Linked DNA regions of Nothobranchius furzeri. The protein of the gene in region 2 purifies or fractionates together with the protein of the main gene of each other region. This does not show direct contact. Links are inferred from orthologs where the notes say so. Each region holds a gene or a part of one and is shown on either strand. Other genes may lie near its edges.

Region 1 (7,593 bases), on a different chromosome or scaffold from region 2:
ACTCAAAGTCCAGCTCATGGTGAGGACTTTTCAGGCTGTTGTGCAAGAGACTGACAACAAACACAACTGCAAACTCACTTATCAGCTGCTTCAAAGGGAAAATAACACGTGTGCACATATTCACTCCGCTAGAAGCTGTTTGAGGCTCTTTAAAACGATTTTTACTACCAAAAAAAACCCCACCAAATTCTGGAGGTTAGAGAATAAAAGACGCGGCAGCGAACCCACCTGTAAGCCAGGGACATGCACTCAAACAAGCGGGTCAGAGTGGGGTCGATGCTCAGGCTCCCGGAGTGGTACCGGTACGTCTGACACCAGGTTCGGTTCACTGTGTCGAAGTCATACCGGAGCGAAGCGCCGCTCTTTCTCCGCCTGCGCGCCGCAGAGTCGCTGTGCGGTGACGACACCATGAAGTGTCCGCTGTGGATGACCTGGGACCCGGGGAAGGAACCGGCCGAGGGTCCGGCGACGCCCGCCGGCTGTGCCAGACCCCCTTCCAGCTCCGAGTCCGACTCCGAGGAGTCCTGCAGCCGGGTCCGGACGCTGCCTCCGCTCGCCATGGAGCTCGAGTCTCTGCGGAGGGTTTCTGAACTTTCCCCTCAGCTGACTCCCCCTTCCTCCCCCCTCAGGCTGATACTAGTGTCGGAGAATACAGCCCCAGAAGGAAAACACTCATGATTAATTATTAATAAACCAAAAATACGACTTTGATACCTGGGAAATATATAAAACTTAATGTGTACACAGGCTCCAGAGATGAAAAGCGTTTTCATTTAATTTAATTTGCTGTCAACACAAATAAGTCATTAAAAATGTCTAGAGACACTAACCTGGGAGGAACTGCCAGGGGCTTATCCAGGTGTTTTGTTAAGGTGGCTGAGCACCGGGTTAAAGCGAGGTGGGTCAGGTTAAACTGTCTTTCTTCTCTTTTAGTCATAAAAAAGTCACATGCATTAAAATCATAAGAATTAAAAAATTAGGATAAGGAAAAGTGTACAAGCACAATTAAAGTTCAGACATAATTAGAGTATGTAAGTAATGAAGAGCATAAAACCCAAATTAATTCACAAAAACACAACTTTTAGATAGTTTGCAGATGGATATAAAACCAAGAGCTATCTGTAAGGGAGAGCTCAGACACCCTGAGAAGAAAACTCATTTTGTCCACTTGTATATGCGATCATTCTTTCAGTCACTACCCAGAGCTGATTACAGCTGCAATCAATTCTCTCCTAAATTCATAAAACTATTGTGCATATATGAATGCTTGAACAGGGGTGAAGATTAATTCTGAAGCCACTTGAGCAGGACCATAAGGCTAAAAACAAAGAGAAACAGGATTCCTTCAGCTGTCAAGATTACCAGAAAGGTCCAACTGTCCAAACCCGACACTCAGGAAACTGACAAATGTCCCGCAGCTACCTGCCTAGAGATGCAACAGATAAGAGGCCAGAAGAAAACCGAAACAGCTGCAGAAAAGTTCCTGCAAAAAAAATAGCTTGTGAAACACTCCCGACCCCACTCACACCTCCGGGTGGTGCGACTGGATCCATGAATATACCTCTGCTAGCAGCTGTGTTTTGCTAGAACAGTGGCTTCCAATAATGTTCCTTGTTTGAGAGGTTTCTGTGCATCTACACACCTCAGATTAGTCAATAGCTGATTAACAGGCATCTGCAGAACCTGCTATCAGCTGTTGAATCAGTTGTGTTGAAGCAGGAAAACATGCTGGATAGTGGATTGGACACCCCTGTGCTAAAAGGTAACTGTAACTCTAAATGGTACCGGTGGCCACAGAAAAATTACATTTGAATTCTGGTATCAAACGGTTTTATTGGACAAACTTTCCATCTCTCCAACAAACATCACCTCACTCATTCGACAAAACCGCATCAGTCAGCAAAAACTCAGTTGCTCAGATCCGTCATAAATAAACAATTAAAAACGGAAAGAAAAACAGGTTAGTTGGCGTTTTCAGAAATCCTGACTTTTACGGATGAGCCAGGCAGTAAAACCCAGACTTCTGTAACTGGCAGTAGGTTCTCTCTCAAGTTACAGCCACACTTTACAGAAAAACTTAAACCTTTACTGACTAAGAGTAGTGTGGCAGCTGCTGGCGACCATCTAATCAGTCACTGAGCACTTTACCCTACAGCCTCCATCTTTATTAGGTAGAAACTATTACATTTGACATTAATTACATTTCACAAAGCCCTGGAGATCCTCCAGGAACTTGATGTACTCTTGATGCTCAATGGCGGTGCTCAGCTCCATCAGCTCATCGGCGAAGGTGTTGTCAACCCCGCGGTCAGCCAAGAAATCCATCAGGTGGTCATAAAGCGCCTGGAATAAACGGACTATGAGAGTAGCGTCCTGCAGCCTCATTAACTTTCTGAACCAGTCTCAGCTCTTACCCAGTCCAGGGAGTCTGTGTTGAGTGTGTAACTGGTCTCCTTCCAGTCCACATCCCCCTCTGGTTGGAAACTGACCTCCCGGATTGCAAAGATGTCGCTCTCCTCCTCCCCCTCGGCATTACTTACCTACAACACACAAATCCAGCAGGTTTCATTTAACTGAGACAGAACCGGCTCCTCACTATTTAGCATGTGCTTGTGTATGTTTGTTTTACCTCATCTTCAGGAAAATGACAGTCAAACACAAGGGAATGTTTAGCAGCTTGTTTTGTCACTTCAACAACAAAGTTGGGTGTTGACACAATCTCTGGCTACAAAGAAGGACAAAAATGATACAATTATAGAATTATAAAGTGTTAAAATCATTTTTTCTTTCCACGACCAATCAGGTCATAGATTGATGATGGGCTTACTTCCTCCTCTGCCGATTTCTGTGACTGCCCCTGCTCCACTGCCTCCTCCTCAAAGTTAGGAGGAATGCTGTTGTTGACATTGAACGTGACGGTGATTCTGAAATCAGACCACACCGTGAGCCCACACTGAGCACCACTTCCTCTCAGAACAAATCGTAGCATCCTTACTTGTCTCCAGAAGCATGCTTTGTGAGTTTCACCTCTGTTCCATTCATCCCCACCTCCCATCCTCCAGTCATTTTAGGTAGACTTTTGTTTTTCTGGATTACCTTCTCTTCTTTGATCTCATCAGACAGGAAGTCACCAAATGCTTTATCGCCTGAATAAAGTGAGGGCAAAAATGATAGATCTGTCTGAATTAGCATCAACACCTTTAAAACTCCTTTCAGAAAGACTAAATATGAAATGCTGCGTATAAAGTTCACTTAACTCGCTTAAGTAAGACAAGTGTGTGTACTTGAGTGTTTACATGTGTATTTAAAACCTAGAACTTCATGTTTAATTACGTTGTAAATCTCCTAGCTTGAGGCTAACAAGCTAGCTGATTAAGACGTTACTTTAAAACGTGACCTTACCTTCTGTGTGCAGTCCTTCACATCCACACGACACAGAAGGACCCAACACCTTTGAGCTGAACAGTTTGGGTCTGTAGCCTGATGACGCTCCGTTATTATTCAGCATCCACAGGGAGCGGGTGAACGGCCGAATTGTAGCCGAGCTGGGAGCGCACAGAGTCGGGCAGTTGATTGGTAAGGCCCGCGAGACTGAGGACAAGCGAGCAGCGGCTCCCGCTACGCGGACAAACGACTTCAGCATAGCGGTGTGCTTATTAAAACGCTGTGTGAGAACAAAATAATTTAATCTAACGCCCCTGAAAGCCCCCTTAGCCACGCAGGTTACGGCTGCTTCTTCTGGAAGATACAGGAAGCACGTGGGGAAGGACACAGCGACCTCGCGTCACTGCGACCTCTGAACCGGAAGCAATGTTTTTTAAAGCGATGGTGACATATTACATCAGTCAAATGAAGCACATAATGTACAAATGATAAAAAAAAACACATCTAAAATATATTAACTAATCATCAATTCCTTATTTGAATACTGCCCTTTGTGCCCAAGCGGAAGATTTTAAATGGACATATGCATTTTGGTTTAACAAGCCTAAAAAAAGTCCCAGTTTGTGATGACACAAACAGGGAATTGGGGCAAGGTGGAAGAGGACTTAAGTGTCTGCCTCATAATTGGAAGGTTACAGGTTCAAACCCCGCTCAGCTGGTGTCGGTCATGTTGTGTCCGTGTCACATTACCTGCTGGGGGTGGTCAGAGTGACGCCTGTGAACTTCAGCCTTGCCCAGGGCAGCTGCAAGGCTGTTTCTCCCCGTTCGCTGACTGTGAGAGCGGGGAGGTTGCGCTGACTCCCAGGTGCAAGGGAGATGTACTACCAATGGAGCAGCAGCAACTCTACCTGAAACCCCCATGGAGCAGCAGCAACTCTACCTGAAACCCCCCTGAATATGAGGGCACCTCAGGTTATATTAGCCTGAGTAGGATGGATGTTTTCTTAAAGTGAGGCTTGAAACAACTCACTGTCGAAATAAAAAAGCTGAAATCACTTCATGTCAGAAGAATTTTGTGCAAAGAACTTTATAAAGATGTTTGTATGGACAATGGAACTACGATAACCATCTTCTTTAAAGGGACAGTTCACCTTTTTTCAAGCGGAGGTCTGTGGAGGTGTTGTGAACAATTAATATCTGAGCTGCTGTTGATGGCAATTGGGCTGACCTCAATTTAGAGGTTGTGTTCAAATTGGAACTAAGCTGTTAGCGACCTCTTGACCCCTGTACTGAGACACTGTGTTTACACACGCCTGTATTCTCCATACCAGTAAACTCAGGTTTGATTACCAGCTGGCTGATACTTCCTTTTCCACACAAAACTTTTCGTTTTGCTTTTAATACCTGGTAAATATCTGGCCTTTTCAGCTTTGTTATGATGCATTAAAATCTAAAAATGTAAGAGGGTGGACTTTATGTCACGAGTCTGTGACAAAACTTTAAAGTTTCTATCTGGAAACAAAGCTTTCAGGCATTATAGAAACACGTCGTAAACAAACAAAAATGATAATCACCTTGTTGAAACATTTCTTTCATTAACTGGTTTACTTCAACAGTTGGAATACTTTTATTAGAAATTATAATAGTTTATATGAAAACCTGTTCTACTCTAATTAAGCTCATTTAATGTTTGCCTTTATTCTACAAACTACATGCAGGTAGGTAAAGTAGGTTTTCATTTGACTTACAAACAAGTAAAATGCAAGTGGATCTCAGAGAGATTCCATCAATTATAAATGCAAACATTTTTGGTTCTAAGCAGGAAACTGAAACGCACGTGGTGCCTCTTCAAAGATATAAACTATTTATGTGACAACATGTTGAAATTAGAGTATATGTTGTACAATCCTGAGTGCAGAGTAAAAAAGAAAAGAGGATCCCTTCATCAACATGATGTGACCTTCTAGAGCAGGGATTCCCTAAGTGTGGTGTGGTGCGCGAGCTGCCGCTAGGGGGTGTGCGAGGTGAAAAGTGTAATGGCTGCGGAGCTCAGAGAAGTCTGTCATATGTCACCATTAGCGTAGCCAGAAACTCATTTGTGGGTGGGCCTAAGAAAAAGTAAGTGGGCCCAATAAATGCAACTGAAAACAAGTATATTTTGTGTGTGTGTGTCCTCCGCATGTGACCTAGCTTCATAATAATGCGCTCCGAGCTTCAGCGCTCTGGCCTGCACACGCTGTTAATAGCAAGATATGTTTCGTATTTGATCATTTTTATCGGTGTTGGAGAAATCTGAAGGTGGTGAGTCATTCTGGCAGACTGTAATTTACACCCTGTCTCATGCAGGTGTTCTGACATTGTAAACCTCACACACAGAACATTGTGGATGTAACTGAATAAATCACGAAATGATTCCCATCTGAGCATTTTAGCATTATTATATTATTATATTAGCACACTGACTGTGGGACAGCATTCTAAACGTGTCAGGCTATTAACAGCACGCTGAAGATCTGAAGTTCGGAGTGCGTCTGTCAGAGGTCAGACGCGTTCCAGCGGAACCACGGCTCACAGGTGCACAAGTGAGCACATCTGGGCTGGGCAGAAGTCATTTTACAACATTGGTTTAAATAGCGCCAATAACGAGACGCGGTGACTGGAGCGGCTCATGGAGCTGTGCCGCACACACACACACACACACACACACACACACTGATTGAACAAGCGAACGCTGCACAAACTCCGGCCCTGGCTGTGCCGTCAGACTGAAGGCAGAAATGAGCGCTGCCTCCTCCGTGATAAAAACTTTTAAAAGGTTTTATAATAACATTTTTCATTTGAGGTCAAATTAAGATATTAGCTTCTATTTTGGGATGACGTATGAAATTCGAGTCCGCTCCAGCCAGCAACTCCTCATGAACCTGACTACAACTCATGTTACTGCAGCATTTGTTATTCCAGTCCGCGTGGCAGCGGATCGCAGATTCAGCCACACCATAAAACAGCAATAAGTCGGTCTGAGGCAAAAGTGAACCTCATGGCTATAGCTTTTCCATCTTTTCCCCTATAGACATTTGATTACGCACAAGTAGGTGACCAGTTCAGGTTTACGCAGAGCAGAAGGAAGAAGAGCGCTCTTGCCACAGGTTAAACGTTCCTGCCTTAAGAAAACCGTTAAATTGCATTTTTTATGTGCTACCTGGGCATGGGTACACACACACACACACACACACACACATATATATATATATATATACATATATATATATATATATGTATATCCATGCCCTGATGTGGGGCTGGGGGGTGCGTCGACATGGTCGGGAAATAGAAGGGGGTGCGCGGCTAAATAAGTTTGGGAACCACTGTTCTAGAGAGTACCAAGTGATCAGATCATACACTGTAATCATGCACTATATACATTAGCTGCCAGCGTCAATGTCTGGGTGGAGAGTTTAGTTAAATATTAGTTCAGCAGGAGACATGAGACATCCTTCCTCCTAACATGCACTCTACTTAGAACTAAACAATCAACTGCATGCACAAGCTAACATAGCAAGTGTTGTAGTCAGCTTTTATAATAAAATCACACCTTAGTGGCATGCGAAATACTAAAAACTAACTTATTTTGGTATTTTCCTTTTATTTTAATGAATCTACAGTCTGCAGAAGAAACAGAACTACCTGGTATAAATGTTTAACAACAAGGATTTTCAGGCTAATTCTGACTCAACTCTTCTGCTGCGCTCCAGTGAAGTTTTGAATGTTATTAAACTACATGCACATCTATTTTAAATGAGTTTTTTTCCACATAGCTATGTAATTAGATTAATTCCTGTCAGGCAAAAGAAAAGAGCCTAGAAAAGTTAAGAGGAAGCCAACGTTGTGGGACCCTGCTGTGCAGATTTGCAGAACAATAGCGACACGTGCCAGATCCACGTCATCTGGGAGGTAGAAGAGTCCGGCAAAGTTTTCAACACAGAAAACGTTCGGCTCCGAACGCTTAGGGAATCCTGTTAGCTCTTAGCGATGTGCAGCTTGCGGCCAAAGTATTCCGGCGCTGCATCCAGCAGCCAGTCTGCGTCGACCAGACAAAGGTCCCTCATGTAGCAGCGGGAGGTGTGCAGCAGCTCGTTGAAGACCACATATGCTGGTTTAGACTGGAAAAGGACAGAGGAGGGGTGGATGGCAACAGGCTGGTGGGTGTTC
Region 2 (7,358 bases):
CAAACAGCTGATAAACAAACAAAAGGTAAACAAACAGCTGATAGACAAACAACAGGTAAACAAACAGCTGATAGACAAACAACAGGTAAACAAACAGCTGATAGACAAACAAAAGGTAAACAAACAGCTGATAAACAAACAAAAGGTAAATAAACAGCTGATAGACAAACAACAGGTAAACAAACAGCTGATAGACAAACAAACAGGTAAACAAACAGCTGATCAACAAAATGTCAGTGTAGGAGGAAAAGTTATTTCCTGCAATTTTAGAGATCAGATGTTTTGATTTGGTTTAATTTTCAACAAAGCAAAATGACCAGAAGATGATTACTGTAATGACTTCATCAATGACATCATCATCAACTACAAATTAGCTGATTGAAGCTTTAAAAAACACAAATTCTAATCATCAATCCTCAGATTCCAGGTAGTCACCTCTGCATCTCCCAGGCCATCTTAAGAGCGTTACCATGGTAACCACAAGGTTGAAGCCCTAAATAGAGAATTACCATGGTGACCGTGTTGTCACAGGTCATCACTGAGCATTACCTGGGTAACCACGATGTTGCAGTCTGACGCTCGGCCCCCCTTGATGAAGCTGTCCAGGATGTACTGAGGGACCTGTGTGGTTTTTCCGCAACCAGTCGCTCCTCTGATGATCACTACAGGGTTGTGGTCGATGGCTGCCATGATCTCCTCCTCAAAGCTTTTGACGGGCAGCTGCTCACGCTCTGACAGGATCTGAACATAAAGGGAGTTGTTTGGTAAACACCTTCCTCTAACAGTTGACTCCACTCAAGGAAGAAACAGACCTTCTGTAGGTTCTCGTCATTTTCCAGCTGGAACATCAGCTCTTGGTGAAGATCCCCACTGATCTGCTCAGGGGTGCACTGGTGGGTTAGATCACATTAGAATCACACAGTGATCAGGTGACTGCTACAGGTCAGAGGACAAAGCCAGCATCAGTCCAGAGTAAAGCCTTACATAGGCCAGCGGTCCCTCGTCGATATTGCTGCTGGTCCATGGGTTCCAGTTGACCTGAGGTGGAGACCAGGGGACGACACCGGCGGCGCTCTGGCGCTGAGAGGGCTCAAACATGGCCATCTTGCCCTGGATCAGAGACACGGGGCAGCTGGGATCCGAGGGCTAGGGAACAACAAACAGGATGGGGGGGTAATGATTTAATGTACGTCTATTTAATGAACCATAAGATGTGAAATTCTATAGGAAATATGAAATCAATCTAATGGACCTTTGGATAACTTAAACCAGAAGATTGGAACTTTTTATTGCAGGGATTATGTAACACTTCGTATTAACTGAGAGACAAGAGAAGAGAGAGTCACCTTTAAAAAGTTTAAGAAGATTTATTTCTACACAATTTTAAAGAATTTTAAACAAGACTAACTCTAAACTCTAAGTGATGAATGGATCTTGGTGTGAATGAGACGTGAGATGGATGGTGTATGTGTGAGTGATGTTGTCATCAGAACTCTCGTATCCGGAGAAGCAAGTCTGAGTGGGAAGTGATGTTTTGCTCTTAAGCCATCGTTGTTTCATAAACACATAAGACGCCATATTGTCGCTCCACACATACCCTTCAGGATGAGACCTCCGTACAGATCCAGAATGCCAGGTTCTCGGACCCCCCGGTACCGGAGCCGATGAAACAGCGTCAGCGATACGACAGACTAGTCTTTGGATTGTCTCCAGGTAAAAAGCGATAGTTGGTTGACAGCGTCAGATGGACCCTGAGGGTCAGTGAGTTCAGCTTTTATTCTGGAAGGAACCGTTGCCTGGTTTGTAAAGTGCAACAGAATTTATCCAGCTTGTCGATTCTTTGCTTATAAAGGAAGTCCGGGTGGCCGGTCCGATACTTCTCTTAGAATGTGGTGAACTGAACTAAGATGGCGTGGGGACTGGTTTTATTAATCTGGATGTTTTGATTTACGGTCGAATCAGAGTTTGACGGATTTATAAACACCACAAAGAGCATGCCACGCTTCAGAAAGGAAGGATCCGATTGGATGAGAAAGATAAAATGTCATGTGACTTTAAGCATTATGTGGATCAGGATGTCTAGTGCAGCTAGATTAAAGTCTTATTACTTATTAATATTAAAATACCACTGATCCTAAACATTGTCATTTCACAGATTGGTTCACATTTTATTATTGGACTAACACTTTGTTTGATTAGCTTTATTAAAAATAGAGTTCTTTGATTTATTAAAAAGAAAGAGTTTATCTTCTTTCTTCTGTTGAGCTGGAAAGGAAACAGTTTTAGAAGCAAATGCATGTCCTTGAGGCAGTCTCATGCAGATTAGTTCTTACCGAGGAGAGAGGGTAAATAACCTGCGGTGGAATAGCTCCTTCATCACATTACAGGGGTTATTATTTATTTGGGTGGTAGGAATGGGCCATATGGTGTAAGATCCGCATCACGATGTTTTATTTTCTTCTGTTTACAAGTTTATGTCTGAAAGGCTGTTTTACATTCTCACAGACCCGACAGAGACAGAAGGGCACAAACTCCAGCGTTAGTAATGAGAAACAGCTACGGATAAAAACTTGTTTAAACCTCCCACTGTCTTTATGGGAGACCCCGCGAGGAAAGTTGACCATTGAGCAGGATTGATGGTTTATCCATTGAGGTCCACGTGGCAGGGGTGAGGTGGTGCTCACTCCTCACCCCTGCTACATGGAGCCAAGGGATAAACCATCAACCCTGCTCAATGGTCAACTTTCCTCGTGGGGTCACACCCATTAGGACAGTGGGAGGTTTAAACCAAATCACAGGAGATGTACGAGAGTTTGAAAGTTTATCGTGTGTTAAAAAAAACAAACAGCATTTAAGGAATTAGCATTAACAAGGTGTTAACGCAGAAACGGCTCAACTGTCACCAGAATCATTTACAGAGGATGTTCTCCTTAGTGCTGCAGCAGCCTCTAGTCCACAAACACGAGATTATGGCCTGCTGATAAAATTATGAAAATAAAACAACAAAATTGTAAAAGGATCAACCATTTGTATTAAATTGGTGTCGTCTAGTTCCCTCTTTCTCAGCTGATAGTTACAGTTAATAAATATTTTATGGAGCATTTGATTTATATATCACTATAATTAAGTTTAATACAGGCTTGATATCACTCATCTTACTCCAAACATCTAAATATGTTCACATACGATCAGAAGAATTATTATTTAGCATGTTCAGCAGTGAGCTGCTGGAAATGATAACATTTAATATGAGTAACAATGTACCTCCACAGCACCTAGATCACCACATTGTGTGTCAGTAAAATGTGTTCAGACTGCGGTGCGTACATTTAACGACGCTTCAAATCAGTGAAAAACAAATTTAATGAATTGAACCATTCGATGATTCGAATCAGTCCCAATGTGAACTATATATCACTGTGCATTACTTTGAGTGTTAATTAGGCATAACACATCCCAGCACTTTTTTTTTTTTTTTTTACCAGGGCACAGGAATGGTCATCATCTGTGTAATGAAATATAGGTTTCCACATTCCCCCTGTAATGCGCTGATGGACCACTAGGGGTATGCATACCCCCAGTTGGGAATCACTGCAGTCGGACATGACCTTAGGCTGGATGGGAGAAAAGAGCAGACTTGGATCAAAGACTCACCGGAGCAGGAATCTGGACTTCAAGGTCCTGGACGACAGCGGCCAGCTGCTGCTGGAGCTCCGGAGACACATTGACCTCATACACGGCCAGCTGGAGACAAAACACACGCAGCTAAACTCACAGAATTCCTCAGACCTTCTAGATTCTGGCTTATTTCAGGCATGTCAGAAACACAGACTGTACAGATATAATAGAAAACCCTCCGTGCCTTCACCCGTACGTTTCTGAGGAGCTGATCTAAAGCCCAGTGGGCGGTTCTTACCAACGCCACCTTGGCTGCATCTCGTCACTCCCGGAAAAATACAAAAATGGAGCTGAGGGTGGGTGCAGATGAATGACACCCATCAAACTGAGCAAATGTAGCAATGAGCTAACTGAGCTAACCAAATCTAACAGAGGTTGGGGTGTTTTTAGCCAGAAAACCATGTTGAGCGACTCTGAGGCCTTCCCTGGAGCAAACAGGAAGCTAGCTGTTAGCTCATCTGCTACCTGTCAATCAAAAGAACATGCCCCTAACCATCCATGATTTCAAGCTTTAATTACATCTAAACAGAGGTGTGTGTGTGTGTGTGTCGTACAGTTTCTCCCTCCTTCTTCTTGGTGACCCCGGCATAGGCCTCAACAACTCCCAGGTGGAACAGCTGTCGGACCACGGACAGAGCACATGACTGAGCTGCAAGCTTCTTGTTGGAGCCATGTTCTCGAGCTGTGATCTCTGAAGGACACACACACGCATCAGAACATGGACCAGATGTCCATTTCTGTCCTGAACAAAAATTCCTTAGTGGTTTTCTCTGGATTACGCTGGGCTAAAACTAGCCGCTAAAGACTAGGGCATGTTTCCATGGTAACCACTAGGTGTCAGGATTCCTACAGACTGGTTCTGAAAGTTTAGAGCAGGAGTTCTCAGTCCTGGAGGCTTAGGCCTAGTCCACACGTAGCCGGGTTTTTTTAAAAACGAATATCCGCCCCTCCAAAAACTTGCATCCACACCACCGCGTTTTAAAAACAGACTCTGTCCACACGTACCCGGATAAATACGTTGTTAAGGACATGCCAGACCTGTAGGCGGCAGTATTTCCTCCGTTCTTAACCTCGTCCTTCGTCTGTGGTCTTCCGCAAGGAGCAGTAATTCTGCTTGCAAAAACAAACAAGCAGAAAGCGCTTGGACAATTGATGGATCGGGTAGTGACAGAGCGCAGCTCTGAAGGCTTCCGTAATGCCGGCTAGTGTAAACACAGGTCGCACACGTGATGTCAGCATTTTTTTGTCGCGGAAAGTGACGTTGCGGACCTTAAAACTCCGGTTTTGTTCGTCCACACGCAGACACCCAAAACGGAGAAAACGCAGATCTTCACTTTGGCCGGAGTTTTTAAAAAGATCCGTTTTCGTGTGAAAAAACTCAGTTTTCGTGTGGATGACAGGCCAAAACGTAGAAAAATATCTACGTTTTGGCAGATCCCCGGCTACGTGTGGACAGGGCCTTAGTATCCATCATGTGTTGTTGTTTGTCTTCTTCAACATGCCCGTTTGAGTGGCTGAGTCAACTGTTCAGCATCTCATCAGGCTCTGCAGAAGCCTGTTAATCACCTGTTGATTGTAAAGTAGGTGTTTTGAAGCAGGGAAACAACTAAAACATGCTGGACCAGAATTGTGGCGTTCTCGTATAGAGAATCAACAACGCAAGTAAATATCTCAAACCAGACCAGAGATAATCCAGGACCAGGGCCGTCTCCTGAATTTAATGTATTTGATGATAAAAGGTGCTAAAACAACTGAGATGCTGTAATTCTACTTCCGTAACCATGGAAACGGCTGAAGTATCAATCACGTGCGCTGATCTGAGATCAGGTTCTACGTTATCAAATGTGTCTTACTTCTGCCGAGCTGCCTGACAAACAACTGCATCTCCGCGATGAAGCTCCTGCAACACAAACATCACAGCTTCACTTCCGGTGCTTTTCAAAGTAAAAGCCTCTAACAGTGGTGCTAAACCAAACTCACCTGCGGCATTCTCAGGAGGAAGCCTGTGTGTTTTCCTGCCAGACTTTGGGAATATTAGACACCAGTCAGCAGCATCTCCTGGCTGTCTGCAGCCCTACGGTGACACCAGAAATCACAACCAGACTCCAGCTGCACCCATGGGACAGATTTAGAACACCTAAACGCTGTCCCATGTCTTTTTCAGGGCGGTTCTGAGTTCTGGTGTCATCTCACTATTCTAGCCACACCGGTCCTGAGTCCTAATCCACCTGAGTCACCAGAAAACAACCCAAACAGCTGGATATTGTTTTTCAGTTACCGTTCCTGATGCCGACATGTGGTAGACACGGTCTGAGGATGGCTGACATCCAGACAGTTTCCAACTTCTTTTCATGCTTAAGTGTCACTAATAATGTCACAAAATTTCTGAAACTTAATCAGTTTTAAACACAAAATTTAAATAACTGTTAAATCTTGACAACGCGTGTCCTGACTCGTGTTCCGACCCGTTTGCCTCCTCTGGTGTTCTGGACCAAACAGTGAGAGCTCTCTGGTGTAACCAACACACTCTGGAGGTCTCTGGGTTTGCAGCAGTCCAGCAGAAAAACACACAGGAACGTCCTGAAACCCGACTGGAGTCCAGAACCAGCGGGTGCCACCAGCCTTAACGGGGGGCAGCTAAAACCGCCACAAGTCCGAGTCCACCTGGTGAACCTGAGACCGCTAAGACCCCAAATAAAAACATGAAACAGGGAAAAAAGCCGGATTTGAAACTGGTCCACATGAATTTTACTGTTGAATCGTATTTTAACTCATTCACTGCCAGCGTTTTTACAGTTTTTTTAAGTCACAGAACATTGCGCGCTAGGACGATGTCGACGCCAAAACAACCAAAACAAAGCAGAGACTCACCTCTTACATCAGGATGAATCCGCGCGTTTCGAGTGTTATCCGTTCTTTCATAATCTGTTGTTGAATTGTGATCGGCAGAAGCTTTTCTGGTTCTAGGGTTGGGCATCGAGCATAGATTGGAACCGGTTCCAGCTGTTCATTTTTCCCAGAATCGCTCAACGTTTTTTATTTCGATTCCTAGTTTCAATTCCTAGAATGCCGACGGAAGAGGAATCCGCGGCCGATCTCCGTGAAAAATTAACGGGATCTGCAAATTGCGATCAACGCTTTTCAAAGCTGATCACACCAGCTGTCTGTGTGCAGCACCGAGTCGACACCCCCCACATGGACGTAATTTTCACTTTAGACGTGGGGGGGGTATCTTTACAGTATGCTCTAATGGGAAACAGGCTTCAACACAAACGGTTGGTTTTCCGCTTGGTCCTAGAGCTCAACCAGTGTCCCTTTAATATAGCGTAATACTGTTTTTGGATGGTAAAAAGTGCAGGGGTCAACACCTGACTTTGGAAAAAGTGGGGGGGGGGGGACATGTCCCCCCTGTCCCCCCCAAAATTACGTCCATGACCCCCCAGATATGAACAAACGTGTCTGCCGGACTTTTACTCCGTAATGTAAACTTTAACTCCTGCAGCGTAGAGGAAACTTGTTAAATACGTCAACACGGTGGATTTAATAGAAGCTTTAAAAAACAAACTCTGGACGGTGTGAGGTGAGTTTGTCTCACTGCAGAAATAAAAACACACGGAGCGTCAGAGGGCTGAACAATAACCTGTAGAAATTAAAGTCATCATGCTAGAGAAGCTTATCTG
Region 3 (8,106 bases), on a different chromosome or scaffold from region 2:
AGAAAATTATAAAAACATTGGATCCATGCATGTACGCTGAATGCAAAGTGAGAGTTGCAGAAAATATTCAGAATTCGCAGTTTTTTGCTACCACAAGCGATCTCTGGTCCAGCCACACATCAGAGCCGTATTTGAGCTTAACTATCCACTACATGAGCAACTGGGAGCTACATAGTATTTTGAAAAAGTTAATGTTTGCACAATACATTTGCAATGGACACGTTTGCACTTTAAATATGTTTACGATTTTAATTTATGTTAAGTTACTTGAAAAACGAGAAAAACTGATTTTTGTAATTGTTTCTCTCAGGGCTTTTATCATCTCTGGTGTGAGTTTAAAATATAAGTGTGTTAGCACTGTGTTGATTATCCCTAATATGAATAAATGTTTATTTATTCAATGTTTCTCTTCTTTAATACGCAATTGAAGTCATGCTATTCATGGATAAAAAATCGTGATAAAATCGAAATCGTGATAAAATATTGAAAAAATCGTGATATTCTACTTTTGCCATATCGCCCAGCCCTACCTTGAGTTTGGTTTAACCACCCAGTTTAGAGTTTGGAGATTCTTATTTTGGTCCAGAACTCAGTAATCTTTGCCCAGTGTGACATTCCTAGTTATTTGTACTTTTGTTTTAATTCCCCACAGGCAGAATTAGTTTTATTATTCCCAACCTGTGGATGGAAAGATTTATGTTTGTTGTTGTAAATAAACCTGATCATCATTTAAACTTATAAATCCCGTGTTATTGTCCCTTCCTTTTTGCACACGAGCCCAATTCCCCAGGAAGGGTCGTAACACCACTCGCCTCACGCACATAAGTGACCAAAATAAAGCAGCATGGAGACACTCCGTCTCCAACCACCTCTCAGGCAGCAGCCTGCAGTTCCATGTTTTACATGTCACCAGAACATAACCAGTAAAAGCAGTGTTGTACAGTGTTGTACAAAATGGAAGGCCTGTAGTGTTTATTCACTATGTACTCCACGCAACAGAAAATTGCGGCTCTTTTTACCGCTCCCTCCTGCAGTCTTCCCCTATTAACATTTAAAATGATTCTGTAAATTCCGTGTATCAATAGAGGCTTGGGGAGAAATTATGACACTTCTCTAAATAAAGTAAATTTTCCAGTGCAGATTGGAGACAACCCATAGTAGCACTGATTTGATCTCATTTCAGAGAACAATAGAACAGGTCAGTTGCACCTAATAAATAAAATTACTAACAAACTCAGGAATCTTTCTTTGCTTCACTGTTCTGGTGTAGTGATGGGAAATACGGCTCTTTTTAGAGAGCCGGTTCTTTTGGCTCCCAAGTGGCTCCTCAGATTTTCTGTTGCGTAGAATACATGTATAACCAAAATAATACTAAACTATATGTAAAATAATTTACTAATGTAAAAAAGCAATATATCAAATATTTATAATTTCTATTGATTTAATAACTGAACACTTTAAGAAATCTCCACTTCCCTACTGCTGGCGCTCATTTTCTCCTCTCTCTCGCTCGCCTTTTTCCTCCTCCTCATTCCCTCTCGTCTCCCTCCACCCGCATGTGCTCTGCTGTGTGTCTGTCTGAGTCTGATCCTCCCTCTTCCCCGCCCCTACTGCTCTGTGTGTGGACAGTCTGGACACACAGTTACACATGTTGACCAATCGCCTGTAGCTTTCACCAAGGCAGGGGGGGAGGGGGGAGGGACGGCTCCCAATGACGAGCCGGCTCCCGTCGTTCACTTCAAAGAGCCGGCTCTTAGAGCCGGTTCGTTCGCGACCGACACATCACTATTCTGGTGCTGAGGATATCACTAATGCGGATCAAAGGAGATACACAGATGAACGCACCTCTTATTTATTATTTGGAAACTACATTTACTGCAGCTGGCAGAGGCAGAGATTGTTTCTATTGATACATGAATTTACAGAATCGTTTTAAATGTTAAAAGGGGAAGACTGCAGGAGGGAGCGGTAAAATACAGGGGGTCCCCAGCTAAAACAAGAAACTTTACGAGTCTGATGAAACCCGCTGGTTTTCCATCAGGCAGTCACGGGGCAGCTCCAACGACCCAGTGGCTGTGCTGGGTCAGTTACCGAGCCCAGTCCGGTACCGGCTCGGCCGTGAAGAGCCGAGGCAACGTCATGCTCTGCTTAAGAAGAAGCGTTATTTTCCCGCTTCAGAAGAAGCGTCCAACGTGTTTTTACGCTTTCTCCGAGACATGTCACATTGCTAAGTTGTTAGCGCGCTAACACGTCAATAGTGCAGCGTAGCCTGCTGGAGGTTTTAAGGGTTCAGATGAAAACACCCGACCTCTCAGGCTGCTCACACATCGATCTTAAGTTGTCGCTGTTGCGCTCACGCCGTAATACAGTATTAGATGCGGTTAAAGTCAGACATGAAAAAATAAATAAATTTTACATGAATAAGTGATGCTTAGCCTGGTGGAGGGAGGAAAATCTTGCCTAATAAGCACTGGAGGAAACCCTGTCAAGATCGTTAACACTTGTTTATCTTACTGCTATTGAAACATGTAAACCAAAATGCATTATATCCATTGCTACCTTTCTAATTTTAAACTCAGTAACTTATGCTGTAACGTCACCTTGCTCTGCCTGCTCCTTTCTTCTTGCTGCCCGCCGGCTGTGATCACAAGCGACAACATAGTAGTTCCCGCTGCTTCTTCGGGAAACAGCGCATGGCGGGCCGCCACGGCTACGCCTATGTAAGGGAAACCCTGTATTTTAAAACATTTTCTAAATGCTTTTTTATATTTTTACATTTTTTTTTGTTTTTGTGAAGAGCCTCGTGATTTTTATCTTGAGAGGCACTATAGAAATGATATTTTCTTCTTCTTCTATTCTCTTACAGTACCAGTTGATCACTTTTTTTGAAGAATTTATTTGAGATTTTCTGGTTTTTATTAATTGTGCAATAGACAAATAATAATTAGATTAATCGCCATTAGAAAAGTCAACTATTCGATAAAATAATCGTCAGAATAATCATTTTAAAACTAATCGTTTACCCCCAGCCCTAACACCAAAGTAACTTGAGGTCTTAAGGGGAGACTGTGCAGTGTCTCTCCTTAAGCCCTCCTCCAAATAACCATGTTATTAGGGCAAGAATCTGACAATATGACAAATATCACAATAAAGGGGAGATGATACGATATAATGCAATACTAAAAGCCACATGATTAGCTATTTTAAAGACTGAATTTAATTTTAAATCACTCCAGACGCTTTCAAGACACATCCAGCGTTTTCTCGAGATCTTGTCGTTCCATCAGAATGAAGGCAGTAAAACTGCTGCTACCTAGCAGTCAGAGTTTGAATTGCATCAAACAAAATAATTACAGTAAATGTTAACATTTAAATTGTGAATTACAAACATCGAGAAATATTGATTCAGTGACATGAAATATCACAGCATTGATTTTCTTGCATTCCAACTGATTATGGTTATATCTAAACGGAGTGAGACAGCAGAGTCAACAACATGCTAAAGAAATGTGTCCCGTTATTCTCACTTTGACTACTCAACATAAACATCTTTATAATTGTGTAAATGTATTAAGTCTTACCGATTTCCTTGCTGAATTTGTCTCTATATGTACTTATGCAGATGTAGCATCCATGTTGTATATCCTTCATATAAGTCCAAAAGCTTTGACTGAGAGTGAAATAATAAATGACCGCGTTATGAAGCTGGAACAGTAACATACCCTTCGTCCTCCTCGTTTTTACTGGCGTCAATCCTCGACCCTTCGGCCTCGCCTCCCATCGTCAGGCCACAGTCCCCACTAGCGGACATCGGGTCGTCGTTGTTAGCATCTCCATCCTCCTCCATTCTCATCAGGCTCGAGCCTTCGCTGAATTCATAATCCTTCGACATATTTTGGTTTTTTCAGGCACCTAATTTTTAACTAAAGCGGCACCGGGAATTTTTGAGAAAATACAAATTCACAAAAAAATAGAAGTTGCGCTACAGATAGCTAGTGGCTAGCTAATATTTATTATCAAATACCATCAGATAAAAAAACGAAGCAAACGCAAACCGTGTAGCTTCTTCACGGAAACATCTAAGGTTTTGATTAACAGAAATTTAAAGCGTTTAAACTGATAATTAACTATCTTCCAAATGTTATTTTAATAATAAGAGCGTCGTTTTGTGTCGTTTTTTATCACCGTCACCGGATTCTTCTTCTCTGTTTTAAAAACGGATGAATTAGGAAACCAAACCGGGAACAGCGTCACCCAAACGTGCCGGTGTTACGTCGAAATGTGTGACCCCGTTGAAAACTGTTTCTCCCACTGGCTTTGCCCTGCCCCCTTGTGTTCGGTTCAGATGTAAAGAGATTCACACAGCTTTATCGCACATCCGACTCGCCTCATCAAAAAGTACATAATTTAAGTTATATATTTTCTTCACCTAACATTTTTGTCTTCGCAGTCGCACAAATATATTTGCCGAGGAACACCTATGACGACCATGCTGATGCTGACAGCAGCGAACAGTTTCAGACGGGGTAACCTATACAACATCTAAGTGTAAACATTAAACACGGTTAAAATAAACGTTCTTTGAACGGCAGATTATAATTTCAAGTGAACGTAAAGAGAAAATTAAAAATTGAATGGAAAATATACGGTGTGTGTGTTTTACGTAGAATATTTATCTAGTCAGCTAACACCCTCAAAGAAATAGCACACACGTAACAATGAATTCTAATTATTTTCTGACATGCAAAACAAAATATTATTAATTGTAAACTGTTCAAAATATGTTTTTAAATGATGAGTCCTTGCTATTAAAATACTCAGTATCGTCACCTAGTGAGTTGGAGGTGAATTGTCAGACCGGAACATGTGAGTTAGTTGTTGCATTGTGTGTTCGCTAAAGTAATGGCTTGAATAATCACGTAGCAGAGATCAACTAAAGCCATTTCCTGCTCATTTATAATCTCGGTTTTGCGGTATTCGACCTGGACACGCACGTGGGAACAGAGCCTCGCTGTAACACCACACTATTTAAGCTAAGCTATCGTTAGCTAAGATAAGAACCTCCACCATCCTTGTGTTTTATTCTAGTTACAGAAATGGCCACTGTTTCTATTCCTGCTCGCACTACAACAATCTTGTTGGACATCGAGGGAACCACTACACCAATTACATTCGTTAAGGTGAGTTACATTTGTTTTTATTGTATTAGGTGGGTCCAACCGTAATGCTAAGTAAAGAGCTAACAGTTGCATACGGCTAAAAACTGCCTGTTTCTAACAACTGAAAACTAATACACTCCGGGCTTTGTCACTTTTCCAGGATATTTTGTTTCCTTACATCAGGGAGCATCTGGAGGATCACCTGTCCACTCACTGGGAGGAAGACGAGTGCAAACAAGATGTGCATTTGCTAAAGAAACAGGTATGATTAAAGCCTTAAAGTGAAATTAAAGTGAAAATAAATATTTAAATGGAGCCTTAAAAAATATATCTATCATGATTATGATAGAAAGATTAAAATAAAAATACAAGGAAATCCAATAATTGAAGAAAAACAATTACAATTTATAAAATGGCCTATAAAGCCCAAAGTAAAAGAAATGCAATTTAAAATTCTCAACAACTACTATCCATCAGCAGAGACACTGAGGAAGAGATTTGGTTTTGAAGTTGACCCTTGTGAATTCTGTCAGGGAAGCCCTGAAGAAATAGAACACTTATTTTTCAGCTGTCATATAAGTAAGAGGTTTTGGGAAGAAGTCCATTGTTGGTTAAGAAATAAAATAAGAGAACTTGATCATTTTACAAATGAAGATATTCTTATTTACAATTCTAAATTAAAGGGGAATAATTCATTGTTAATTAACAGTATTATTATTATTATGGGTAAATACCACATCCACAAAAGCAAATGGAAAAAACAACTGCCAAACATGAACTGTTTCACAAATGAATTCCATATGTTCTTATCCACTTTGACTCGTATAAAAAATTCAAATGCAACTGCAAAAGCCATTTGTCATGCTGCAGAAAAATGTTTAATCTTGTAACAATGTTTTTACTTTGTGATATAAGTGCCTCTTTTTAAGTTTCTTATTTGTTTTTCTTTTATTGTTACTAAAGATGCCTTGTATGTTTCTATTATGTGTTGTTGTCTCATGAGAAATTGTAATAAGCATTTAATGATAATAGAAAAAAAAGAAGAAAACACATTTTAGTTTAAAAAACAACTAATGCATTTTGATTTAGCAATAAATGTTTAAGTTATTAAATAAAAATAAAAGTCTACCAAATTCACTCAAATAACAACAAATGCAGTTGTTTTTTTTTTTACTTTTTTTGTCTAAATAAACTTAATATACAAAAAAAGGTATGATTAAAGCCACAGTGTGATGTTTTTACCAGTTTACTATCAAATCCTGTGCTTACAGTTGACAAACTTGTCCTTTTTCACTAATATTTCTCACCAACATCAATTCTAAATATTCCTCTCAACCTGAAATTATACGTTTTTAAATACATAAACTATGGTCGACGCTCCATGGTCATCCACCATCTTAAAATACAGTAGCTGTCTAGGGACTAGGGCTGCAACAACGAATCGATAAATTCGATGAAAATCGATTACTAAAAGCGTTGGCAACGAATTGCGTCATCGATTCGTTGTGTCGCACAACTCTTCCAAAAGCGCCCCCCCTTCCCGCCCGCCGTTGCGCGCAGACCAGAGCAAGTCAGATCAGCGCGAGGGAGAGCCGATCAGCGCGAGGGAGAGCCGCAGATCAGCGCGAGGGAGAGCCCACAGATCAGCGCGAGGGAGAGCCGGTACCGGCAGATCAGCGCGAGGGAGAGCCGGCAGACTTGCGCTGCTGCGAACCGGTTCCGCATTGTTGTGCAGCGATCCAGGCAGCTGCTTCCAGCGCACGGTCCATTCTCAAAGTGGTTCAACCAAAAAACTATAATTAGCACACGATCGTTCATGTCCGCACATGTTCTCTATTTTGTCTTATTTGTGCCTGAAGCGCGCTACTGCGGAGCTCATCACCTGTGCTGTGGTGATTTCACCTCACGCAGCATCGAAAACGCGCTCTCCGCTGTGTGGTCAGGAGATCCCTTTGATCTGCTCAAAAGTAACTGATGAGGTGAAAAGGTAAGAATCCAGGCAACAGATTTTCTGGAGAATTAAGAGGAGATGCAGGAAGATGAGAGACAGACAGGACAGGAAAATAGTTAAATAAAAACAAGAAAACAAAACAAAGTGTTGAAAAGTAAAAAGTAGGCAGATTTATCTCCACTACACGTTTTTACCTGTAAAAAACAATAAGTTATACATACACATGTTATATTTATACATCTGATACAATTCAGATCACCTTCAAAACTCAGTCACACACCCAGGGCCGTTTCAAGACATTTTGGGGGCCAAAGCAAAATGCCCCCCCCCCCCCCCCCCCCATAACTGGGCTCCCCAGAAGCCTCTGTGTAATTCATACCCTCTCCAGTAGTGTTAGTTATACAGTGTTTATAAAAGCCCCTCAGACATTACTGACATGTTCTAATATTATCAGATGAAAAACTAAATGATCAGACATGCTGTCTCATCTGCTGCTTTTCTAAACTTTTTAAAAGTAACAAAACCATGTGAAAGCCACCATTTGTGGATTCTCTGAAAGTTTCCATGGAGTGTGTGACAACTTATTTTTTCATTGATCCTATCGTCTAATCTCACAGCTGAAACAAGCATCCTTAATAATCTGTGCACAGGAAGCTTACCGATGCTGTAGTAAAACAAAAGGTATAATAATTTATTATTAATAAAACCTTGTTGCAGCACTAAAGCAGAAAAATTAGATTTTGCATTAAATATGCAAAATATTTACATAGGAATTGTTTTAGAGCCCTTTTATTGGCAGAATCTGATATTAATTTAGTTCTTACAAAAAATGGGTCCCAACATAGTTTGTTTGGCGTTGCCATAGTGTGACGTCATAGGCACAGATCCCCTGTCCTCTTGTTTGGAAATGGAAATATGATCACCCTACATTAAACAAACTGTCCACCCGGGCTTTTGCGCTGCACAGAGATGCTTCGCTGCCTATGACTGAACGTC
Region 4 (8,106 bases), on a different chromosome or scaffold from region 2:
AGCAGCTGATAATAACCGGGCTGACTCCGACACGTGCCGGTGAACCAACCCACCGTTAGCCCCAGGCTCCGGTTAGCTTCCAGCTAAAAGGCTACAGCACTCTCCTCCCAGTCCCACCCTGCTAAAGAGGGCCTGGAAAAGTTCCCCCACACATCAAAGTGATTTTTCCTTGATGAGCTTTCATAACCTTGTTAATCAGGATAGTTGATTTGCTGCTGCACATAAACTGTCAGTCAGAAGCTCTGCTAGCCGGTTATCTTAAGAGGAGCTAGTTCAATTTGTTAGCTTGTTATCAGAATAATAGTTGCAGTTTCATCATCTGAGCTGCTTTTTAAGATCTAGGTAAACTTGTTCAATTTGGGGTTAAAACCAAACATTTTCACATATTTTCCATGTAGTTTTTTTGCCAGTTCCTCTTCTGAAAGGTAGACAATTGTTTTTCTCTTTCCCTCAGAAAATCTTAATATTCTCCTAGTTTGGCCCAGCACAGATCACTTCCCAATTGCAGCAACAGCCTTATATCATAACCACATAAGTGGAGAAAATGTTCAGTAGCAATGAGAGAATTTGCTGTTGCATTTAAGTGATGTTAACTATTATTTGACACTTAAAGTAATTTTCTGATTTTTATTTATTTATTCAAAAACCCTGGTTAGGGATGTTTTTCTGTATTTGGAGCATCAGAAAATTTTTTATGGTGGTGGTGATGTTTTAAAGTCACTGAGAAACTGCATGCATGCAGTTTGTTGTTTTGCTGCTACTACAGTAGCAGGTGGAGCTGCATATTTTTGCAATAGAAATATGTTGTAATGGAATTCATGCATTAGTTTTTGTTTGCTTTGAACCCAGAGCAGACGTCACACCCCAGACAACATCAACAATGCATACTTTAGTATAGGGCTGCTCAATTAATCGAATTTTAATCACGATTACGATCTGAGTTTTGAACGATTATAAAAAACAAAACAAGCCGATTATTTGCTCCTCCCGCTTGCGCTGCCCTGAGTTGCAAATGAAGCGCTCCTCCACAGTGTTGCCAACTTGGCGACTTTGACGCTATTTCTAGCAGCTTTTCAGACCCCCTTCTTGACTTTTTAATCCCAAAAGTACCTGGCGAACATCTCAGAAACATCTCTGGTAACCCTTAGCTACTTTCTGGATAACTGTGGTCGACGTTTCCTGCAGGTTAGCTAAACACTCCGCCTGCACTCCGGACCGTTCTTCAGGACATTAGGAAAGGGAATGATGTAGTGATGTGTCGGTCGCTAAAGACAGCTCTCGGAGCCGCTCTGCTCCCTGTTGGAGTAACCAGAGTGAGTGACACACACACCGCACCTGCGGACTCCTGAGCCGCTAAAAACAGCTAAATGTGCGCGTGCGGCGCACTAAACACACGTGCAGCGTGCCCCTGATTGCTGTGAGACCGGGTTGGGGGGTGCAGCTGTGGTTGGGACAATTATTACATTAACTGATGGACTTGTAAATAAATAGTTTGTAAATAAGGTAGAAATAAGTTCCTCACGCTGGTGATAAATAATAACTAATCTCTCTGAGGACACCGTGCTAGTGCACTCTCCTACAGCACCTTGACACAACTCAATAAATGTTATGCAACATTTTGTGAACATCAATTTATTTGCATTTATTTGTTATAAATGCCACTGTATAATTCTTGCTGTCAGTATTTGCAAGATATTGGTATTTGGTTCTGTACTGGTTAGACTTAAATGAGTTAAACCAAGGTCTACAGCCCTTGGGTCATAGACTATGAGCTATAAGTATATTGGTCTTTTATACAGGGAATCAGGAGTTCTTTTAGTGATCATCTTGTTTCTTATTTTTGTCCTGATTGTGCCCTGAGCAATTTTATGACTGAATAAAAACAAATAAAATCAACATAAATTGAAAAATCGTCCTAAATAATCGTGATCTCAATTTCAGTCACCATAATCGTGATTATTATTTTTGCCATAATCGAGCAGCCCTACTTTAGTATTTGTTCATTTATCGTGAGTAATATCGATATTGCAATATTAAGCACTGTTATCGAATATCGCAGGTTTTCCTAATGTCGTGCAGCCCTAATCTCAAGTGTTCTCAATTTGGTTTGAAATGTATTCAAGGAGATAAGTTTGGTTAATTTCCAGTTTTCCTGTAACCTGTTCCATGACTATGGAGCAGTGAATAAAAGGAAATAAAAATGTAAAAGATTGTATTAAAAATGTTAAAGCTCATTTTTAGCCTGTTTATTTTAAAAGACCTCATATCTTCGTTTGATCGTTCTCTTAGGAGTATTACATGTTTTGAATAATCGGACCATTAACTGGTAACTAACAGTTACCAGAAACCACCACACAAGTACTAACTAAACAATCTATATCTAAAACGGGACTGATCAAACATCTGTGAGCAGATCTCACGTTACCTGCTTCTTGCACCGTGAGACCTGTGCTTGAGACCTCTCTCTTCACAACAAAATCTCCATAGTCTGAAGAAAAGCGGTGACAACAGCACAGATAAAAGGTTAATGCTACAGACATGTTTCTTACCGTTGTAGTAATGACCGCCGTCCGCCATGTTGCGTTACTGAAGGGGGGAATTACGGAGTGAAAATACCCCGCGGGCTTTGACCTTTCTTTCACAAAACACAGAACAGTGACACTAAAAACAGCTCAAACACTAAATCCTGTTAAAAAAAATAGCGTAGAAGCTGAACGAAGTGAACTTCGAACTCGCTAGTAACTTAGCTTAGCGAACACCTTCTGCTAACAAGTTGAGGTCATAGCGGAAATATACGTTTGCTCAACTTCCGTTTCCGGGGCATAATTTCCCCTGGAATTCAAATATATAACTCGCGCAAGAGAAAAGCCAGTCGGTCGTAACACATATTTATACGAATACATTTGAAAACTCGTTAGCTGTAGCTTATGCCGATACTATTAGTTGCACTTACTAGGTATTTTTTTCTGGACTCAAATCGGCTCCCTTTCCACAGCTAGTGAACAGAAGTATTCAATAGAACAAAATGTTAGTGCCTAACCTTCAGTCAACTAAAAACTAAAAAAAAAAAAACTTTCATTTTAAAAATATTTTAAGATATCTGTTAACACGAAAATGATGATGCTGCAACAGTAATTTAATTTTCAGTAGATGATATACTGAGTCAATAAATATAAATACAAGAGCAATACATTACAAGCTGCAGTTACAATAACCAATAAACGTCAAGTAACAGATGCCTTTATAATGCAGAAATATAAATTATTAACATTGTTTATGTCTCAGCAAACAATCTTAAACCTTTCATGAGAAATTATGATGCAGAACAGACCAAAGTGAGTCTGAATTTAGAAAAGTAAAGTTCAATTGCTGCTGAGTATTTCATATCCAACTAAGTTTTTGAGATTTCACCGGCTTCTGTGTTTGTTACTGTTTGTAAGCCCTAGTGCGAGCCATATCGGTAACTAAAAGAAAACCATATTCCTCATACACATACTTTTATTTCCTTATTTTTCATGCAAAACATGAATTTTATACAAATTTTATGAGCAACTTTATCAAGGTCATTGGAATTTTAAATTGTGACCATATAATCTAGTCTTTAATGGTAACAATACATCATCTGATTATCTATCAGATGCATTGAAATTAACATGTGACCATGGAAATGAGAAACATGTGCTCCAGCGGGGAGGAATCAAACCGTTAGTCACGTCTAAGTTTAGAACGACTCAATCGTAACAATACATAAGAATAAATGAAAATAATGTTGACATCGTAAAGACTAAACAAAGCTGGGACAAATATTTATTTCACTTACCATCATTTAGCACACGTGTCACCACGGCTAAGTTGGAGTAGCTTTTCCAAATCGGAATCATGTGGCCAATCTAGTAGAAAATCAGATAAATCTTACACTGTTGTTTGAAATACGTTGTTACTAAAAACAAAGAATCAACTCAAATGTGCGCAGCGCGAGACAATTACAACTTACACTTTAAACGGGTTTATCGGTTTTTAGTCTTTTGAACGGAACCCACTAGATGTTAGCGTTAGCAAGCTATTTACGTTAGCATGGCGGTTTTCGAGCTACACTCAGAAGCACAGTCTGACAACCATCGATATATGTCGGTTATATTGACGCTCAAAATAATTTCCCCCAGTTTCATAATATTTTAACTAAAACGTGAATTTTCTTCCCTCTAAGATGTTAGGTTGTGTTTGTCCCACACTTTTCCTCCTATGCACGCAGTTAATGACGTGACGCCACCTGCTGGGATCGACAGAGACCAGCAGGTGTAATGTCAAGATCATCCGAGATTTACATTTTTTTTAACGTATTGTTTGCTTCTTGCTTCATTTTCCAACAAATAATACAATGTTTAAAAAAACATAAAAAATATTTTTATTCTTGTCTGATAAATGTGTTTAGAATAGAATAGAATAGAATAGAATAGACCTCATTAATCCCACTGTGGGGAAATTCACTTGCTACAGCAGCACATACACTTAGAAAAGGAAGAAAGAAAAAATTAAAGCTGCAACCAGCGTCTTCTAGCCCTCGCTTGGTGTCACTCCGGCCTAGTGTCACAACCGTGGCTGTGAGTAGTATACGGACACTCACGAAATTTTATGCAGATAAGATGATAATTGAAGTATTGAGTCTGTGGCATGATGTCTGAATTCTCCATGCCCCCAAAGCCCTAGCTACCTTCTTCTTTAGAAACCTACTAATACTTGACACAAACTGACCCCTACATGTCAGCTATTGTTTAGCATTTATGTTGATTAGGTAAAAGAGATCAACCGCCAGGAGGCGACAAACACCCGAAAATCCCTTTTTCTTCTTTATGTTGTTTGACCAAATTTTCAGATAACGTCATTGTTTAGCATATATCAACATTTATGAATAAGCCCAATGGCATTTGGCATATCAGATTGATGATATAAAATGTTTTCCCTCAGGTGGATTCTTGGTCATTGATCATATCTAGCCAGTAGGATGCTATGTGTAAGAATGGGCTTGCATGTGTCTCTGCAGATGCTTAATAACTTTTAATAATTCTGTAAAACTAGCTAAATCCCAGTTGATGTCTCAGCTTGTGGCAACAAACAGCCACAGACCTCAGGTCCTTTTTAATGTTTTAAACTGTTTAATTAATCCTGTTAATGTTGGCGCTGTTGTACCTTCTCAGAGTTTGTGTGACAACTTCCTGAAATGTTTTTTCAAATAAAATTCTGCAGATCAATAATGGAAAAAACCATCAGAACCATATTCATCTGTGTAAAGAAAATCGCAATAGGAAAATTTGATTTTGCATTACCTTCAACTGAATATCTGTTCAGCTCTGTTTAAATCCCACTCGTTGTCCAGCAGACATCTGTGACAGAAGTTTAAGATTTTAGAAACACATTTGGTTATGTTACACCCCTATCTGGTCTAGCAGGTCCAGGAGGGAATAACACGGGATTAAAAGGTGAAAGGGAACCAACCAATGACTCATATTTTAAATAAAAGAGTCCCATAAAAAAGGAACTATGATGGTTAATTGAAAACTTTAAACACAGGGCACCTCCTTACTAATAATAAGGGAGGGAAAGCTATTCAAAACTAATATTTCAAACACTAAATAGAACATCCATCCATCCATCCATCCATCCATTGTCTGTACCCGCTTGTCCATGTAGGGTCGCGGGGGGGTGGGGTGGGGTGGGGGGGTATGGGGGTTCTGGTGCCTATCTCCAGCGGTCAATGGGCAATATGGCGGGGTACACCCTGGACAAAGTGCTGGTCCATCGCAGGGCAAGTCAGAGAAACACAGGACAAACAATCATGCACACACACACTCACGCCTAAGGACAATTTAGACAGACCAATCAACCTAACAGTCATGTTTTTGGACTGTGGGAGGAAGCCGCAGTAACTAAATAGAGCAGCGGCTCAAAACTCAGTTAACTATCTAAAGGACCAACTACTCAAAACAGCTCAAAACAATAAGTCCTCTGGACATAACTAAAGGTTACTCTTAGCTAAAGCCAAACAAAAAACAAAAGAGCACAACAGGCCAAATCTAAATTCTAAACCATCAACAGACTGGATCTGGGCTCCAAACTTCAAAACCAGAGAGACTAAAAGGGGCTTTAAAAGAGTATACAAGCAGCTGCTATTGTGCCTGGGAGAACAACAGACTAGCTCTGAGTTCCCCCTGTTGTCTGGAGAGAAGAAGAAGAAGAAGAAGAAGAAGAAGAAGAAGAAGAAGAAGAAGAAGAAGAAGAAGAAAATATCATTTCTATAGCGCCTCTCAAGATAAAAATCACGAGGTGCTTCACAAAAACAAAAAAAAAATGTTAAAATATAAAAAAGCATTTAGAAAATGTTTAAAAATATATTTAAAATGAGCAAAAATAGGCAATTGGGATTTAAAAGAAAAAATGTTAAGAAAGAGAGAGAGAGTGAATAGGAAAGAGGGAAAAATCAGTGGATCCTGAGGAAGGTGGAATAGGTGGGGAGAGCAGAATAAAGAGAGAGGGGTGAAGAAGGTCATACAAAAGCCAGCTTGAACAAGTGAGTCTTCAGATGCTTTTTGAAGGAGACCACTGAGTCCACTGATCTCAGGCTCAGGGGGAGAGAGTTCCAGAGTCTGGGGGCCACAGCAGCAAATGAGTGACAATGTGTAGTTCTTCCATTAACCTACAGCCATTGAAATGTTGTTGAGAATGAATTAAATGATGCCCAGTTGTTGAAAAATATTAAAATATATCCATACAAATTGGGACTAAAATAAACGGGAGTGGGTCTAAGTCTCTGGGTGACGCCATATTAGATGCTATGTTTTCTTATACGGGAGCCCATGAGGACAAACTGCATTTACTGATATGAAACAAATGGTTACAAATGTTTTGCCATTCATAAACGTTGTTTTACACATTTACCTCTTCACTCGTTGCCGGTGATGAAAGGGAGTCTGATGTTCATGTCGTTTTGCTGGAGGTTGCACTCCCAGGGATTTTTTTTTACCCCAATGGCCATCCATTGGTAAGGTCTTACTCGAACAGTACAATACCAATTGTTTGCAATGATTTAGGTATGTACCGCCCCATATTACCAGGGAAAATACACATTAGGCATGTTTCCACTACAAGAACTTCAGGGTAGATTTACAGGAACCTCCCGACATGCGTGTGCCTCCACCTGACTGGGCCGTCCGAACGGCCGTTTTTCGGGATGCTTTCAGGAATCTTCTGAGTACCTGTTCTGGAGTAGGTACTCTGAACGCCCGGTAGAGTAGCTGAGTGGAACCTCCGGTTAACTCACTCTGATTGGTTGTAACACAGTAGGAAATGACATTAGCAGACATCCAAAACAACCGGCAGCAGTAAAATTCAAAGAGTAGCTGGTGAAGCAGAATGGAAGCAATAAATAATAATAAAAACACGATCACGTTTCAAATTTAACTCCTGACACCGGAAAACTCAGTAGATTTCCCCCACAGCTGTTGAAAAAATGGGGAAATTCCTCCACAGACTTAATTAATGACCGGAAAAGGGTACTTTGCCAACTCCGGGTCAGGAGAGAGGTCGTCCACCAAGTGGAGGAGTTTAAGTATCTCGAGGTCTTGTTCACGAATGAGGGAAGGAGGGCGCGGTAGATCGACAGGTGGATTGGAGCAGCATCTGCAGTGATGCGGACGCTAAACCGACCTGTCGTGGTGAAGAGAGAGCTGAGCAAGAAAGCAAGGCTCTCAATTTACTGGGTTTCATAACACCCTCCCTATAAAAAAAAAAAAGAAATCAAGAAAGAATGTCAACACATACATTCAAACACAACACGACTTTCTTTCTTAACATATTTTACTTAATAAACAAAATTCAACTATTCTAGTCACCCCCTTGTTTTTTCTTTTTACTGTGATGGTAACAGTGAGTCTCTGCTAACTACCCAGGTGTTTTCTAAATAACTAAAACCCTGGATTTCATGTGGTTTACAGGTGAGCAGATTAAGCACAAATAAACCATTAAGATAGAGAGTTGACCCATTGATGAAGCCCGTCTCCTTACCTCTTGGGGTGATCCAGAGATGGTAGTGGGGTCTACCAAAGCTTACCT

What was found. The genes of interacting proteins can lie anywhere in the genome.
Region 1: the proteins of dhx9 (region 2) and c1qbp purify together in Homo sapiens (affinity purification with mass spectrometry; 3 studies listed by BioGRID and IntAct, with this or other methods). This does not show direct contact. The link is inferred for Nothobranchius furzeri from reciprocal best matches to the Homo sapiens genes DHX9 and C1QBP.
Region 3: the proteins of dhx9 (region 2) and heterogeneous nuclear ribonucleoprotein D0 purify together in Homo sapiens (affinity purification with mass spectrometry; 3 studies listed by BioGRID and IntAct, with this or other methods). This does not show direct contact. The link is inferred for Nothobranchius furzeri from reciprocal best matches to the Homo sapiens genes DHX9 and HNRNPD.
Region 4: the proteins of dhx9 (region 2) and nxf1a purify together in Homo sapiens (co-immunoprecipitation; 4 studies listed by BioGRID and IntAct, with this or other methods). This does not show direct contact. The link is inferred for Nothobranchius furzeri from reciprocal best matches to the Homo sapiens genes DHX9 and NXF1.

What each region holds. Positions count from the first base shown.
Region 1 is NC_091750.1:66,119,761-66,127,353, forward strand, and holds c1qbp (complement component 1 Q subcomponent-binding protein, mitochondrial), read right to left. Parts: upstream 3,798-7,593; 5' UTR 3,644-3,797; coding exon 3,403-3,643; intron 3,147-3,402; coding exon 2,996-3,146; intron 2,925-2,995; coding exon 2,828-2,924; intron 2,726-2,827; coding exon 2,630-2,725; intron 2,541-2,629; coding exon 2,415-2,540; intron 2,344-2,414; coding exon 2,194-2,343; 3' UTR 1,814-2,193; downstream 1-1,813. Other genes in the region: carbohydrate-responsive element-binding protein, read right to left, coding at 229-560; ATP-dependent RNA helicase DHX33, read right to left, coding at 7,401-7,593.
Region 2 is NC_091751.1:34,763,065-34,770,422, forward strand, and holds part of dhx9 (ATP-dependent RNA helicase A), read right to left. Parts: intron 5,753-7,358; exon of another isoform or gene 5,659-5,752; intron 5,579-5,658; coding exon 5,532-5,578; intron 4,370-5,531; coding exon 4,233-4,369; intron 3,745-4,232; coding exon 3,655-3,744; intron 1,147-3,654; coding exon 985-1,146; intron 891-984; coding exon 813-890; intron 742-812; coding exon 550-741; intron 1-549. UniProt on the Homo sapiens protein: Multifunctional ATP-dependent nucleic acid helicase that unwinds DNA and RNA in a 3' to 5' direction and that plays important roles in many processes, such as DNA replication, transcriptional activation, post-transcriptional RNA regulation, mRNA translation and RNA-mediated gene silencing.
Region 3 is NC_091746.1:62,891,354-62,899,459, forward strand, and holds the start of heterogeneous nuclear ribonucleoprotein D0, read right to left. Parts: upstream 4,114-8,106; 5' UTR 3,893-4,113; coding exon 3,723-3,892; intron 1-3,722. Other genes in the region: enoph1 (enolase-phosphatase E1), read left to right, coding at 4,782-4,866, 5,089-5,180, 5,320-5,421. UniProt on the Homo sapiens protein: Binds with high affinity to RNA molecules that contain AU-rich elements (AREs) found within the 3'-UTR of many proto-oncogenes and cytokine mRNAs.
Region 4 is NC_091741.1:88,146,911-88,155,016, forward strand, and holds the start of nxf1a (nuclear RNA export factor 1), read right to left. Parts: upstream 4,114-8,106; 5' UTR 3,995-4,113; intron 3,891-3,994; 5' UTR 3,882-3,890; coding exon 3,821-3,881; intron 2,780-3,820; exon of another isoform or gene 2,578-2,779; coding exon of another isoform or gene 2,550-2,577; intron 2,489-2,549; coding exon 2,426-2,488; intron 1-2,425.